Linked DNA regions of Coturnix japonica. The protein of the gene in region 1 purifies or fractionates together with the protein of each later gene. This does not show direct contact. Links are inferred from orthologs where the notes say so. Each region holds a gene or a part of one and is shown in the gene's direction. Other genes may lie near its edges.

What was found. Proteins that work in one complex are often made in the same cells at the same time.
Region 2: the proteins of CLNS1A (region 1) and EPB41L3 purify together in Homo sapiens (affinity purification with mass spectrometry; 3 studies listed by BioGRID and IntAct, with this or other methods). This does not show direct contact. The link is inferred for Coturnix japonica from reciprocal best matches to the Homo sapiens genes CLNS1A and EPB41L3.
Region 3: the proteins of CLNS1A (region 1) and GAR1 purify together in Homo sapiens (affinity purification with mass spectrometry; 3 studies listed by BioGRID and IntAct, counting the BioPlex papers as one, with this or other methods). This does not show direct contact. The link is inferred for Coturnix japonica from reciprocal best matches to the Homo sapiens genes CLNS1A and GAR1.
Region 4: the proteins of CLNS1A (region 1) and WDR77 purify together in Homo sapiens (affinity purification with mass spectrometry; 6 studies listed by BioGRID and IntAct, with this or other methods). This does not show direct contact. The link is inferred for Coturnix japonica from reciprocal best matches to the Homo sapiens genes CLNS1A and WDR77.

The regions. Positions count from the first base shown.
Region 1 is NC_029516.1:172,769,557-172,773,641, forward strand, and holds the start of CLNS1A (methylosome subunit pICln), read left to right. Parts: upstream 1-1,277; 5' UTR 1,278-1,348; coding exon 1,349-1,467; intron 1,468-1,629; coding exon 1,630-1,766; intron 1,767-3,264; coding exon 3,265-3,372; intron 3,373-4,067; coding exon 4,068-4,085. UniProt on the Homo sapiens protein: Involved in both the assembly of spliceosomal snRNPs and the methylation of Sm proteins.
Region 2 is NC_029517.1:90,253,731-90,257,900, forward strand, and holds the start of EPB41L3 (band 4.1-like protein 3), read left to right. Parts: upstream 1-1,364; 5' UTR 1,365-1,478; intron 1,479-4,170. UniProt on the Homo sapiens protein: Tumor suppressor that inhibits cell proliferation and promotes apoptosis. Modulates the activity of protein arginine N-methyltransferases, including PRMT3 and PRMT5.
Region 3 is NC_029519.1:52,168,115-52,172,420, reverse strand, and holds the start of GAR1 (H/ACA ribonucleoprotein complex subunit 1), read left to right. Parts: upstream 1-1,500; 5' UTR 1,501-1,617; intron 1,618-1,653; exon of another isoform or gene 1,654-1,854; intron 1,855-2,718; 5' UTR 2,719-2,731; coding exon 2,732-2,933; intron 2,934-3,013; coding exon 3,014-3,168; intron 3,169-3,984; coding exon 3,985-4,044; intron 4,045-4,306. Other genes in the region: CFI (complement factor I), read right to left, coding at 1,075-1,134. UniProt on the Homo sapiens protein: Required for ribosome biogenesis and telomere maintenance. Part of the H/ACA small nucleolar ribonucleoprotein (H/ACA snoRNP) complex, which catalyzes pseudouridylation of rRNA.
Region 4 is NC_029541.1:3,354,789-3,357,069, reverse strand, and holds the end of WDR77 (methylosome protein 50), read left to right. Parts: intron 1-183; coding exon 184-343; 3' UTR 344-1,775; downstream 1,776-2,281. UniProt on the Homo sapiens protein: Non-catalytic component of the methylosome complex, composed of PRMT5, WDR77 and CLNS1A, which modifies specific arginines to dimethylarginines in several spliceosomal Sm proteins and histones.

The DNA.
Region 1 (4,085 bases):
CCTGATCTTTGAAGGTCCCTTCCAAATTAACACCTTGCCTTGCCTTCCCTTCTCTACCTGAAGGTTCCTTCCAAATTAACACCTTGCCTTGCCTTCCCTTTCCTTCCTGAAGGTCCCTTCCAATTAACACCTTTCCCTTCCCTCCCTTCCTTTCCCTTCCCTACCATACCCTGATCTTTGAAGGTCCCTTCCAAATTAACACCTTGCCTTGCCTTCCCTTCCCTACCTGAAGGTCCCTTCCAATTAACACCTTTCCCTTCCCTTCCCTTCCCTTCCCTTCCCTTCCCTTCCCTTCCCTTCCTCTTACTCTCTCCACCACGTGAGCACCCCACCAATTACACACCTTCTTACTCCCCATTACCCTTATCTTCCCCACTCCGTTAACTTCTCGTCACCTCCTGAGCGACTCAGCTCCCGGGCGCTAGAAAGCGGACAAGGGATGGCCGGCCACAGCCCTGCCCTAGGGGCACCTCCAGCCACCTGCAACCACGCCCAGACCTAGAGGCCAAAGACAAAAAAGACCTACGCCGAGCCCCTACGCCAATATGAACACAAATTCTACCCTGTACCCTACCCCCACCTCTGAGCCCTACGCCACCCTCCTACCCTACTAAATGACCTACGTGCAACGTTAGGCCGTACCGAGCAGACTCCCACCCGCTGGGTCACCTACTCCCTAAGTACCCTATGCCTAAGCCCCTACCGCTAATCTTTCCCCAGACCCTAAACGCCATACCCCCTGCCGTACCGCTGAGCCCCATCTGGCCTACCCTACTAAGACCAAATTTAACACCTCTTCTACCCCTAACCCTCTTTACCACACACCCCACCCTCTACTCAGACGCTAAACCCGCCTAGCCTATCTAACACTAACAATTTATTCCTCCCCACCCTACCCAGAACTCACCGCGTCAACACCAATACCTACCCTACCCCACCCCACCCTACCCAACTCTACCCTACCTACAACCTACCCTATCCCACCCCACCCTACCCAACTCTACCCTACCTACAACCTACCCTACCCTACCAATTAACACCTTCTACCCTACCCTACAACCTACCCTACCCTACAACCTACCCTACTCTACCCCACCCTAACCCTACCCTACCCTAACACCTCCTACCCTACCCTACCCTACCCCACCCTACCCTACCAATTAACACCTTCTACCCTACCCTACCCCACCCTACCCTACCCGCCACAAGATGGCAGCGCTGATGCACGGTCGTTTCGCACCATAGAGTCGGATCCAGAGCGGCCCGACAACGCCGCCATTTCCTTTTCCGGCGGCGGTGGGAGGGAGGAAGAGGAGGAGGAGGAGGGGGAGGCGGTGTTGGCTGCGCCATGAGTTTCCTGAAGCGGTTCCCGCCGCCGGCCGATGGTGTCCGGCACCGGCAGCCCGACACGGAGGCGGTGCTGTCGGGCCGCAGTCTGGGTGCCGGGACGCTCTACATAGCAGAGAGGTGAGCGGGGTCTATGGGGGCGGTTATGAGGGCTGTGGGTGCGCTGTAGGCCGCGGGGGGTGCGCTGAGGGGAACGATTGGATTTGATTTGCTTCTCTCCAGGTTCAGGTACTAATTTCTAACTTCTCTCTTACGTGTGTTTCTCTTTAACCCCCTTTTTAGCCGCCTGTCATGGCTGGAAAACTCAGGAGTTGGCTTCTCCTTGGATTATCCCACCATAAGTTTACATGCTGTCTCCAGGGACCTGAACGCGTACCCCTGGGAGCACCTGTATGTCATGGTGAACGCCAGGTTTGAAGGTAAGGCCCACCATCCCTCCCTCAAAAAGGGAATTAGTTTTGCTTTTTAAAGCCTAAACCCTTAATTCAAGCAGTATCTTTTCATCTCCGTGAAGGATAATTACAGTAGGGCTGAAGTTTCATTAAAAGACAGTGATTCGTGTTATTGAGCTTAATAGATATTCATAGCATTCCCACTCCTGCCAGACCCTTTAATGCTTTTAAGTCTCATCAACTCTGCTGTATTGTATCATTTGAAGAGCAGTGAGTGCTAAGCCTTGAAGAAAGATGTTATTTCCAGCTTCTAATTGTTACAGTGATACTTGAAAATCTTTCCTGTGATAATTCCAGTCAATAAAACCTCAATGAGTTGACATAAAAGAATTCAAAACCTCGATAGATCGACATAAAAGAATTCTGGCCACAGTAGGTGCCCAGCTAAGGGTGAGTCTGAGTGTTCAGCTCTCATGTCTGTCCCTGACCGACCCATGGTTTTAACTGTTTAAAACAGTGTTATATGGAAACATCACTGCTTTGCTGGCTGCAGGAGTCTTGATTTTCAGTTGGGCACAGTACATCTTGTTCTTCTTTGGATGTTTTAGTAGTGCTCTGTGTGTATATTTGCCTCATTTTCAGCCTTCTTTAGAGGAAGGCAGGCAGGGGTTGACTTGGTTGAAAACAAAGAGCTGGATGTAGCAGCAGCAGCAAACTGAGCATGGGGAGGTCAATTCCAAAGGGACTGGGTGAATTCCTTGGATGTATCATTGTTTGGCTGGCAGCTTCTTGGCATCTTCGTGTTCTTCTCGTTGCCAGTTCTGTTCATAATAAAAGCCACTCTTTGTGAATACAGCTTTACTCTAGTCCTCTTTTGCTGTAGAAAGTAACCATGCAGTTTTGAAGCTGTCAGTTCAACCTCCCCAGCCACAAAGGGATGAGCTGTAAGCTGTATCCTGCGTGGATTTTGTTTTTACGGAAGTAGAACATCGTGTTCTTGCTCACTTATTCAATTATGTGGTACACAGTAGTCAGGAAGCAAAGTTTTACCCGCAGCTGACATGGGCTGTGGGGAGACTTTTTGCTTCATTGCTTTAGTGGTTTGCTAAGAACACAAGAAATTGAGTATGGCCTCCTGTCAACGTCAGTCCTATGTGGGAGGCCAGACTGGAAACTGGCTGATCTCAGGGCAGCAGTGCAAGGGATCCCTAATACCTAAGATTCTTAAGTTAACGATTGTATACGTAGCTCAACCGCTCTGCGGTTAAGCAGTAAGGATTGTGGATTACATGAATGCTATAGAAAACTTGGCTCCTCAAATTGAAAGCAGAGTTCTTGTGTGCATTGCAAGCTTCTCCAGGGTGCTGTGAGAGGACCCTGTGTGTCTGCAGATGGATGGGAGCAGGTTTGTTTGTTGCAGGCTCTGTCCGGGTTTCTGATTTGCTTATGGTTCTAAAGGTGCTAAAGCTGTCTCTTTTTTTGGATAAAATAATCATTTTTCTCTTTTAATCTGAATTTCCTGAAGAGGAGGAGACAAAGGAGGCCCCCATGGCTGAAGGGGAGGAGGAAGACAGCGATGATGACATCGAACCAATTGCAGAGTTCAGATTTGTGCCTAGCGACAAATCAGCCTGTAAGTGATGGGGAAGGGGTGCTGTACCTGATGTGAATGGCACAGGCCTTCAGTGTCTTCTTAGCATTTAATTAGGAACATGCTAATGTTCAGATGCTACCACTGGAAAACAATCATACCCTGTCTTGTGGGGAGCTTCCAGTTGGATCCAATTTCTAAGCATCTGACACATTAGATACTGCAAGGACTCCTGAGGTGGGTAACCACTGACTGAGTTGCTGCTGTTGCCTCTGTTGAACCTTTGTCATCAGTGACATGATGGAAGCATGCGTGGAGAACTAGGTTGGATTAAATCTGATGTTAATCTGGAGAGTCTGGTCATGCCACATCTGGTTGCCACCTGTTGTGACTTCCTAACCTTGAAGTGTGCCAAGCCCTAATGTCAGATCAGACTTCTGATTTTCAACCCTTGCAAGTAGAGCAACTATTAAAATACAGTGCAAAAGCTGCTTCTAACAGCATCTTAGCTGAAGTTGCCACTTCCTAGCTGAGGAGGGAGCCTGATTTTGCAGGTGTGGTTCCTGGAAGTCCAGCTGTGCTTCCAGCTGCTGGGTGGAACTGCAGGTTCCCTGCTCGCCAGCTGAGAGGCGCCAGCCCTACTGAGCACTTGCACTTCACAGCTGCCAACTGAAAGATAACTCCTGGTGTCTTTCCTTTGGGCTGCTTGCTGAGATGATTCTGTTTTGTTCGTACAGTGGAAGCCATGTTTTCAG
Region 2 (4,170 bases), on another chromosome or scaffold:
ATACATGAGCAGTCAGCATCCTTCTGCAGTCTTCCTTGCTGTCTTACTAATGGGCTGTGGAAGCAGAGGAGGAGGTAGCTCATCAACCATTATCAGTAGGAGGCTGCAAATGAGTTGTCTGTGCCAATTGTATTTCCCTTTTTGATACTAACTGAGATTTTTTCCTTCATATAACATGATTTCTGCAGTGATAAAAAAGAAACCATCTTAGGATCAGTACAAGAGGCTCACTGCCTTCATAGCCTGCCTGGGGCTTCAGGAGGTCAAAATGTTGCCGTGACCACTTCAGAAAACCTTCGAGTTGTGTATGTACATGTATTCCTGAGGATGGATTGCTTGAAGAGTGTGGATGGCCCAAGCCTTTCAGATGGGAAGATTTCCCAATCTGTTGTGAGAGATTTGTGAAGACTGTTGCATTCCTTGGCATTTTGTCAGCCTTGGTACTATCTGCATGACAGCCAAAACCTGATGCTGATAAAGTTGCAGGGATTTTCTTCCCAGTGTCCTCCTCTGTGCTGCAGGCTTCAGTGCCTTCGCTATCAACTGCCCTGGGACCTTTTGCTCCTCCTGAACTTGCAGACGCAATCAATTTCTCCATTCCAAAGAAGAACACACATTTTGGTTCTCTTACACATGTATGGGCAATTCGCTTAGGTAAACCTACAGCAGTAGGGATTTTATAAAGTTGTCTTCAAAGCAGTCCCTCTCTGAGATAATAGCAGTAGTAATAATAACAGTAAACTAACCTGGTTGAATGTTTTGGAGCTGTTACCAAAGGAAATCAATTCTGAGCCTGGGAAAACTGTAACATTTGTTCTTTGGATTTTTGTTAGTAGGAAAGAGCTGATGCTGATTGTGGTCATTTCAGCTTGGGTGTTCTTGATGGTTTACAGATATATAGCTGAGCAAAGATACACAGCTGTAGAATAGGTTTCAAGTCACTTAATTGTAGGGAATAAATTATCAGTCCCCTCTTCCCTGAGGATATTGTCAGTCACTGTGGTGTGGGTCACTTCTGACTGTTCTTCCTGCCAATAAATCTTACATCTAATTGTCAAGGATTTAAAATTATCTGCAGCATCAGATTATAGCATACCTTATCTCATATCTGATGTTGTCTGCTTATTGCTGTCTGATGAGGGAGAAAAAATGTGCAGTAGAAGAGTTGTTTTAATCTCAAAGTGATGCCAGCCTTGAGAGATAATTGATAAACTGTAATTGTTGTTTTATCATTGCGCTATTTCTACGGTGCCTGTTTTCTTCCTTCTTAGAATATATTGCAATCTGGGGGGTGTTCAGTCCATTTAATCCCATGCAACCTTTACATAAAGCTGTAGTGTAGTGTTTTTCATTTAATCCCAAGTGTTCTCTTTTTTCTTCTTTTTCCCTTTCATTTTCCTGCTGATTGCTACGGCCATGCGACAACCATGGACTCGATGACTGACACGGTACTGCCTCCTGGGATGTGGACAACTTTGGTGAGTCTGCAAAATAAGTTTAACTTGAATTTTCTGGAGAGAAAAAAAGAGTGTTTGCTTGAGGGAAGGAAGAACAATGCTATTTATTGCCAGCTAGGCTTGATGAAAGCTTGATCTGTTTTGGGGATGTTGGTTGTGTGGAAGCAACAGGCAAAGCTTACTGAATTGCAACATGTTCTTTGGTGGATTTATATATATATATATATATATATATATTTCTAATTTTGTTTTATTGTTGGCAAAGGTGAAGGAATTAACGTGCAGCAAATTAATTTGAAATAGTGTCACTTCATATGATAACCATAAAATGACTTTGTGAAGCAGTGGCTTAGAACATTTTAATTCTTCTTTCCTGGCTTATTCAATTGTTTCTGTAAATAATTCAGATAGAAAAGTATGAATTCATTGGCTGGCTTTTCAGAAAAATACTGTGCAGTCCATTGTACTGTCCTTACTCTGGTGTTGCCTGCAGTGTAAACTTTTATAGGTGGTGTGCTGAGGATTCATCTGCATTAAATATTGGATCAGAATTTCCTATGGAATAAGATTTCCATCCCAAGTAGTCTCCACTCAGATATGTGAAAAAGAGCTCTGTCAGGATCACGTTCTTTACTTGAATGCAGATCATGTGGGGAACCACTGTTGCTCCCTGAGGATGAGATTCTGGTGTTTGGGTCTTTCAGTTGAAGATGACTAGGCAGCTGCAGGGAAAACATTTGCTGCAAATGCATCAGCTCTAAGATCTCCACCAGAAAGGCAGCTGGAAATGTCTGAGTTCAGCCAGCACTGTCCATGAGAGGAAAGCTGCCTTCGAGAGCTGGCTGGGGGTGGTTGGCAGCTTAGAAGCCTTGGGGTTTATCTCTGAGCTACTTACAGGTTGTAGGAGTGACTTGTTACTACTAAAGGATTCAATCAAGGAAAACAACTTGCCTCACCTTTCACCTGTGTGGGGATGGCTTTATTTAAACACAGGCTTAAGTCTGAGTGAGGAAGCTGAGAAGCCGTGTATGGTCTTGTATTGTGGTGGCCCTGTTCTGAGTGAGGTGCGGGAGTGAGCATGGGGCAGGGTGTGGGCTGCTCGCCATCAGGTTGCAGCTGAGTTGAGCTTCTGCACGCTCTTGGTTTTCTTTTTGAGTCCTCTGAGTGTATGTGCTCTGCCACACCAGTGTGTTGTACGGGTGCAAAGAGCCTGAGATTGGAAGATGGAACTAGAGCATAAGACTGTCTTCTCAGGTACAGCTTTGGAGAAATCTGAGATAAAAACTGATATTCTACTTGTGAGCATTTCCAGAGTATTGCTGTATAATCCTTCTTATTGATCTGTAGCTCATGCTGGAAAGCCCTGGTCTCAAGGCAATATTCATATTCAGAGTCCCGGAGGATAATGGCGCTAATCATGTTTTGTGTGACCTTTCAGACAGGATGAACATATGTTGCACTGCTGCAATTCTCTCGTTCCTTGGTTGCTTTTAGGCATCTTTGACTCCTCAGCAGTGTAGCTAGGAGTGCGGTTAGGAAGCCTTCTGCTTAACTGGTACAAGGTAATTCTGTGGCTGCAGCAGTGAGATCTGTGAGCATGCTGCTTCAGATTGCCACTCTTTGATGTGCTAAGAAGCCTTGATCAGCCTGAGACAGTAATAGCTCTTGTACACAGGAATGTAAATAATGCATATTTATCTTGACTGTATGTACTACAGAAAGCTCTTTAAGTCTGAAAACTACTGGAGTGCATTCCTTGTAGTTTTGCTTCAGTGTGCATCTCGCTTGCCTTTCAAGCTGTTTTGTAGTGTATGTGTACACCTGACTCTTGTGCTGCACCCATGTGAAGAGATGCTGTTTTGGTGTTTGGAAGGGCTGTAATTGAACGTTGCCATTACCAGTGCATATCAGAGGAAGACTGGTGTGATTACATGGATGAGCATTTCCACCACAGATTCTGTGCTTAGTTTAATTTTTCACTCTAGTTCTATGTCGTATTTAGATTTTTGGCAAAGTTGAAGTCTGTTAATCTAAATCAAAGACAAAAGTATAGCTTGCATAAGCAGGTAAATATCAAAGCTACAAGGGCTGAAAGAGTAGAACTGACTGGGAGTGATGGTAATGGGTTGGTGATCAGACTTGATGATCTTAGTGGTCTTTTCCAACCTTTATGATTCTATGATGCAATCCTGCCTCCTCCTAAGTGTTTGTAGTAGAAGGATAAGAGACAGAGGGCAAAAGTGGAAATGAGAGAAGTTCAAAAAGGTTGAAAGGAGATACGTTTTCAACATGAGAACAGCCAGGCAGCAGCACAGGCTGCCCAGGGTGGCTGTGCAGTTTCCATTATTGGAGATTTTTATGGTCCAGCTAGACAAATCCCTGAGCAACCCAATCTGATCTCAGATGATCCAGCTTGGAGCCAGAGGGTGGACTGGAGACTTCCTGAGGTCCCTCCTGGCCTGAATTATCCTGTGATCCATTAAAAAGCATCTGAATTTAGCATGGTCTTTATGCTTGGAAGACAAGTCAAGTAACAAGGTCATGGAGAGGAACGGCAGCAAGGCTGGTCATAACTTCTGTGGGAGGATGTAATGTGCAGAGGAAGGCAGCATCTAGCCAGGTTCCTTCTGGAATATCCCTGGCTTGAGCATCCTTTGAGTGGTTCGTTGCTCTCAGTTTTTAATTGCATGAAGCAGTTGGCTCCTTCTGATGA
Region 3 (4,306 bases), on another chromosome or scaffold:
TAACTATAGCCAGTAACTACATAGGAACAAATCTAAAATTAACGATTTGTTTAATTGCAAGTAACAAGTATCTTCAACAAATGTGAAAACTAAATGCCCCTCCCAGTCCATTTTGTTCTCATATCTTGAATGGCAGTGGGTTTGCAGTGTGGTTTCTGGTTGTTATGGGCTGCAAGGAGTGTTCCTGATCTCTCCATCTGAGCATCTGTCTCTAGATGAGTAATAACAACTATCCCTGCAGCTCACTGGTTATGCCACTACTGGCCGAGTCCTTTTGCTTACTAAGAGCTCTGGGTAGGGGGAATGTTGAAATGTGAAAAATATGTAACTAGACTTTGCATAGAGATGAATAAGAAATGTCAGTTGTCAGATGGGATTTATTGGCTTTGAGTGCATCCACTGAATCAACAGAGCCAAAGTTTAAAGTTCTCATGAAGAAATCCTGGCCTAAGTAAAGGCAGTGGGAATGTTGCCGAGGCAGAATTTAATCCGAGCCCCTCCCACCCTTTTAAGGGCTGTATAATCTTAATAAATTCTTCCTGTTCTTCTCAGGTCACTAGAATCCTATGCATTATCTTTAAATTTACATACCAAACTCTGAGCCAGGCCCGGCTTGGCATAACTCCCGTATAGCACTAGATGCTTCTCCTTAGTTCTGCCTGAATAGCAACAGAAGGTGCTGATCTTTGTCTATGGGCTTTTCTGGAAGGTTCAGGGTATGCTGAACATGGAGCCCATCAGGATATCCTGAGAGGCTTTTGCCAGAAGAGAGTTCACAACAGAAGCTTTCTGAGCTGAGCCACACTTGCAAGTCAGGTTTAGCATAGGATCCTGATTAAAAGATCTTCCAGAAGCCTGTTCATGTAAACCTCATACAGAACCAATACACGGAAGAGATTCACATTTTCAAACTGGACTAAAACAAATGGATGAAATGCAAATACTACAACAGGAAATTATAGATATATATGTATAGAAATATAGATATATCTTTTTATAATAATCAACTGTTTGCTGTTTTTCTGTTGGTTTATTTTTAAAATAGGGGGGTTCCACAATAAAAGAAGTTCTTACCTGTGCTCGACAGAAAGAAAAGAGAGAGAAGGAAACCAAGAAAACCGCAACCACCCTCATGATGAAGTTTTATCTCTTTGTAGAGAAATCCCCCTGGCCGGGATTTGTCCCAATCTCCAGTTGTTAGGTTTGTGTTTAATTTTTAACCATTGGTAAAACAGTTTGGCCTCAGAAACCACTACGGGAGCCTTAGATGTTAAGGGATGAGTCGGATCCCACCCCATTTCAGCTGTTTGACTGTAAACAGAGAACCAAAGGAAAGCCATTGAAGTCAGCGATTACAAGGGAGTGCTCGGCGGGGTCTCTCGCTCCCCGCCCGCTGCCAAAGCAGACCGACCGAGTGGCGGAGCCATTAACCAGCTCTGCTGTCAGGGTGCTGTCAGGGGAGGTGCTTTCTTAGGTGCGATATGTGTCCGTGCAGGCAGGCAGACTTAAGGGTGCGACAGTGCCGCCGAGCCCGTTTCTCCTTTACGGCATGCCGGCGTCTTTCCGGCGTGTAATGATGACATAATCAGGCGGCGACAGCACTCGCATGGAAGCTGGGTATGCACGTGTGAGGGGTTGGGGCTCGTGGTGCGGGTTGGGGTGTGTGTGAGCTGTCGTTAGGGCCATTAGAGCTGGTGGTCTCCTTCAGGGCTCGGTGCCGCGTCCAGGGAGGCCGCCCCGTGGGAAGCTGGCCGCCCGGAGCCACTCCGTGGGGCTGGGACTGTGCAGCGTGATGCTCAACCCCGATATGGCCGGTCCCTCTTGATGGATGGGCATTACCGCAGAATCGCTAAGGTTGGAAAAGCGTTTTGAGGTCATTTAGTTTAATGGGGAAACTTGATTCTGGCTCGCCTGCACATTTTCGGTCCCAGCCGAGGTGCGTAACCACTAACCCGGGACCTGGGCGTCCTGGTGGACGACAGGTTGGCCATGAGCCAGCAGTGTGCCCTTGTAGCCAAAAAAGCCAATGGCATACTGGGGTGTGTTAAAAAGAGCGTGTCCAGCAGGTCGAAGGAGGTGATCCTCTCCCTCTACTTTCCCTGGTGAGGCCTCATCTAGAATATTGTGTCCAGTTCTGGGCTCCCCAGTACAAAAAAGACAGGGATCTCTTGGAAAGAGTCCAGCAGAGGGCCACAAAGATGGTGAAGGGCCTGGAGCATCTCCCCCATGAGGAGAGACTTAGGGAACTGGGTCTGTTGACCCTTGAGAAAAGAAGGCTGAGAGAGGACTTGATCCAGGTTTATAAATACCTGAGGTGTGGGGGCCATAGTGGTGAGTCTCGTCTCTTTTCAGTAGTGTGTGGGGACAGGACTAGGGGTAATGGGATGAAAGTACAGCATAGGAAGTTCCACATGAATGTATGGAAGAACTTCTTTACAGTGAGGGTGACGGAGCACTGGAACAGGCTGCCCAGGGAGGTGGTGGAGTCTCCTTCTCTGGAGACATTCAAGACCCGCCTGGACGCCTACCTGTGTGATGTGGTGTAGGGAGCCTGCTTTGGCAGGGGGGTTGGACTCGATGATCTCTAGAGGTCCCTTCCAACCCTTACAATTCTGTGATTCTGTGATTAAACAGGACCATCAGGAGACGTTGATTCGGACAGCGTGGTAGACAACAAATATGTACTTATTAAACAACCTATTTTTGTCTATGCTGTAGGAGGCAGTAGAGAATGTCCTTCCGTGGAAGAGGAGGAGGAGGTGGTGGAGGACGAGGAGGTGGCGGAAGAGGTGGAGGCGGCTTTAATCGTGGAGGAAGCGGCGGTGACAGAGGCGGCTTTAATCGTGGTGGACGAGGTGGCTTTGGACGGGGAGGTGGACGGGGAGGCTTCAACAGAGGCGGATATGACCAGGGCCCTCCGGAGAGGGTAGTTTGTAAGTTACATGTGGAGGCTGCTTTTATTTAACTTGCAGTGAGTGTTGAAGATCTTCAGCTTGTTTGTTCTTTATTTCAGTACTGGGAGAGTTCATGCATCCCTGTGAAGATGATCTTGTTTGTAAATGTAAAACAGAAGAAAACAAAGTGCCTTATTTCAATGCACCGGTGTACTTGGATAATAAAGAACAGATCGGCAAAGTGGATGAAATTTTTGGGCAGCTACGAGACTTTGTATCCTTCACAAATTGGTTTCTTTAGTCGGTTTGCTCCAAAATTAGAAAACAATTTCTTTGTCCTACTTTATTTGCTTAGGACAGGTTCAGAACATCCTTCTGCTCTGAATGTATTAATTTGTAGATTTACTTTTTGTACCAGAATTACTTGAAGTTCAGAAACTTTTTTTCTTATAATAACATACCAAGAAATGTAAAGGGAGCTCAGCTGTACTTTGCTGTTCCTTAGCTCCCCGTTTAATCTTGAGTGCTATTGAAAAGTCAGCCAGCAGCTCACAAACAACCATTCTTGCACACTTGAGAACCACGGGATCCATAGTAGTTTGTCTTTGGAGTTACAGAGAACATCCACCATATCACTGTAGGATGAAACAAATGATGTGGTTGGGCTGAGCAGCCCTTGCTGGCTCATCTCTTTCTTCATCCAGGCAGCTGTACAAGCCAGGACAGTCATAGCAAAGTCACTGCAGCATCCGTATTGTTCTGGATAAATCTGAGAGACGGTCACTTGTCAAACAAGTTTGTTTCTTTATGTTTATATTTTATGTATTTTCTGCTGGTATGTTCCTCATGCCTTAATCCATGGGAAGGAGAAAGTAATGCTTCTACAAAAGGCTGTCTTTGTAACTGTGAGGAAGATTAGAAACAGTTATTCCTGATCATTAAGTTGTAATTTTGTTGAAGCGATGATGTTTAGCTTCATTAATAACCTGAATTTAGAAAATGTCTGAAGCATCTAAGTTCTGCTATGCAATAATCAAAAGTGCTACTTCTAACCTTTTATTCGTGGTGCGTTCCTTAAAGAAGCCAACAGTATTTTTCAGTGAAGCTGTCTGAGAACATGAGAGCCTCTTCATTCAAAAAAATGCAAAAGGTAAACTGATCTCAGTAACAGAATTCTGCTGTATGTCAGGTAGATACGTCATCAAATAGCTAAAAGCTTTAGTAAGAGATTTTATTGACTTTAAAAGGTAGCTGTCCTTTGAAAATGTGTTTGCTTACTCATCCTTTTTGCTTTTACATCTGCCATGCTCTTCCCTCCCCTAAAGAACAAAAAAAGGAAGTCGGGTGTAATGAATAAAACTTAATAAATCCGCATATCATCTGTAATTTAATAACTTTATAACACTGATTTG
Region 4 (2,281 bases), on another chromosome or scaffold:
ATTCACTGGGGCTGTTTCTCTTGCTGATTTCTCACTAATTATTTATGTACCAAAGGGAAGATGAAAATACTCCTTAAACTGGGGAACGTTGTCCTAACAAACAAGTAATTAGGAAGTGTTCAAACCCATATATTCATAGCAGCATTGCTTCATTGCTTCATGGCTGATTGCTCTGTTTTCCAGGTTCAGAAGCCGTTCTCATCGAGACTTTGTCAAAGGTTTATCATGGTCTCCTTCAGACAATGCCTTGCTCACTACAATTGGATGGGATCATCAGGTTTTACATCACACTGTCCCCATACCAACTGGTGAAGCTTCCGGAATCAACTGTGTAAAAGAATAGTTTTATAAACTCATTGGTCTAAATTCCTTCCTGGCATTACTTTGGTTCTCCTGAAGTCGACGATGTTTGTGAACTGGAGTGGTTATGGATTATTGTCTGCCTTGAACCTTGTGACTAAGAAGGTTCCTGTAGTAGTTTTGAGTTAAGCATAAATTAGTTGCAAACCAGACTGTACCACCTCCTCAGGAGTTGGATTCACCTGTGAAAAGACTGCAGTTTTTTATCCTGGAAAAAGAAATAGTGGCTTCAGCCACAGAGGAGCCTTGAACAGGGAATTAGGTATAATAAAATGAAAGACTTGTTTCTTCAAACCACTCACAGAATGAATAGAAACAGATTATTTGGGGAGGTAAAAAGGAACCACCTTTACTGAGGTAGATGCAAAAGCCTCACCTGAGCAAAGTGTTCACTGTTGAAATACTTCCTTCCAATGGGGCAGGAAAACGTGTTGGAATTTTAAGGGTAGAAGAGTTTCCTTGTTGTCTGTAGTGCCACAGTCAGTGTAGGTTGGTTTTTTGCATCTTCTATTGCAAATAATCCCACTGTGAGCACTGTATGTGCACTTCTGCTCCACTGGTGGGTATCAGTACCAGTGCTTGGTGTGATACGTCACATATGCTGTATGATAAGGATCTCAGCTGCAGTCATTAAACATCTTTGTGATGGTGCATGACATGCTGAAATACCAGGACCTGTAATGCTCAGCATTGCTTGGAGCTGAGAGCAGCTCAGAGGCTTTTCTGCAGCATGCTGAAAGCTGAGAGAAGTTCACTTGACACCACATTTCAGCTTCTCTGTGCTGAATGCAACTTACAGAATAAGGTTTGTGAACAGAAGTTCGTATAAGGGGAAAAACTGGACTAAGGACTTGAGTCTTCATTTTGCTGCTCCTGTTATCAGACTGCTTAGTGATAAATAAGGCTCCTGATACACATTCAATGAGTGACTGAGAAGATCAAGCAATTTCCATAATCCCCTCAAAGACTTCACGTAATCCTTAGAGGTTGGGTTTTGTTCTTTGGGTATATTTTTTGGGGGGTAATATAACGTACAACTCAAACCAAACTGTTTCCTTTCAACATATTTAACTGACAATAAACGGCATTGCTCTGCATACATGGCTGCTGCTCCAGGTGTGGCTTTCCTAGAGACAACAGTGGGTTTTAGCGAATGAAACAGAAACTACTGTTAAAAACAAATGCTACATTGCCCTTACTGTGATAGCAATGCTACACTGTAAACATCTACAATCATTTTTCAGAGCAAAATTCCCCATCTAGAGCATTGTAATCACAAAGAACAAGTTTCCTCCATGCTGCCCCTTGGAAGAGTTCAAGGCAAAAGGTTGTGTATTACAGTGCAGCTTGTGAACAAGATGTCTTTGCAAAGGATGGAAGATGGTTTTTAAATAAATCACAGTTTTCATTTACAACTGGCTCTTCAGTTTCACCTGGCTTCCTGTGCAACGCCAAGAGCCAGCTGAGGTCACGGCCCTGGAGTTACAACTGTGCTTAAATAAACTCACCGCATGCAATGCAAGCAGGGACAAGTTTCAAATAGGAAGTTTTAAACCACCTAAGTTCCTCAGCTAACCGTGCTGCAGAGCTCTGCAATCCATGGCAAAAAGTGATATAGTGGTGGAAGATGAGGATCATGTGGAGAAAAGGTCACTTGGTATTTCATTCCTGTTCTTGTACAGCTGATTAAAGACTTGGCATAGTAGCACATACTGGGCTTCAGCATCCTGCAAGCCTTTGGGTAAAGCTCTGTGTTCCACCGCAGGAGGGCAGCAGCATGACAGCAGAGGTTTGCATGCATTAAAGACCATCTACCCTTTTTACTGCTTGTTTTTTTTTCCCCCTACCATCATAAATAAGCACAGAAGTGCATCACTTTATTTAGTAGCTGCTACTGTGTTAGCTTACCAAGGCTATAAGC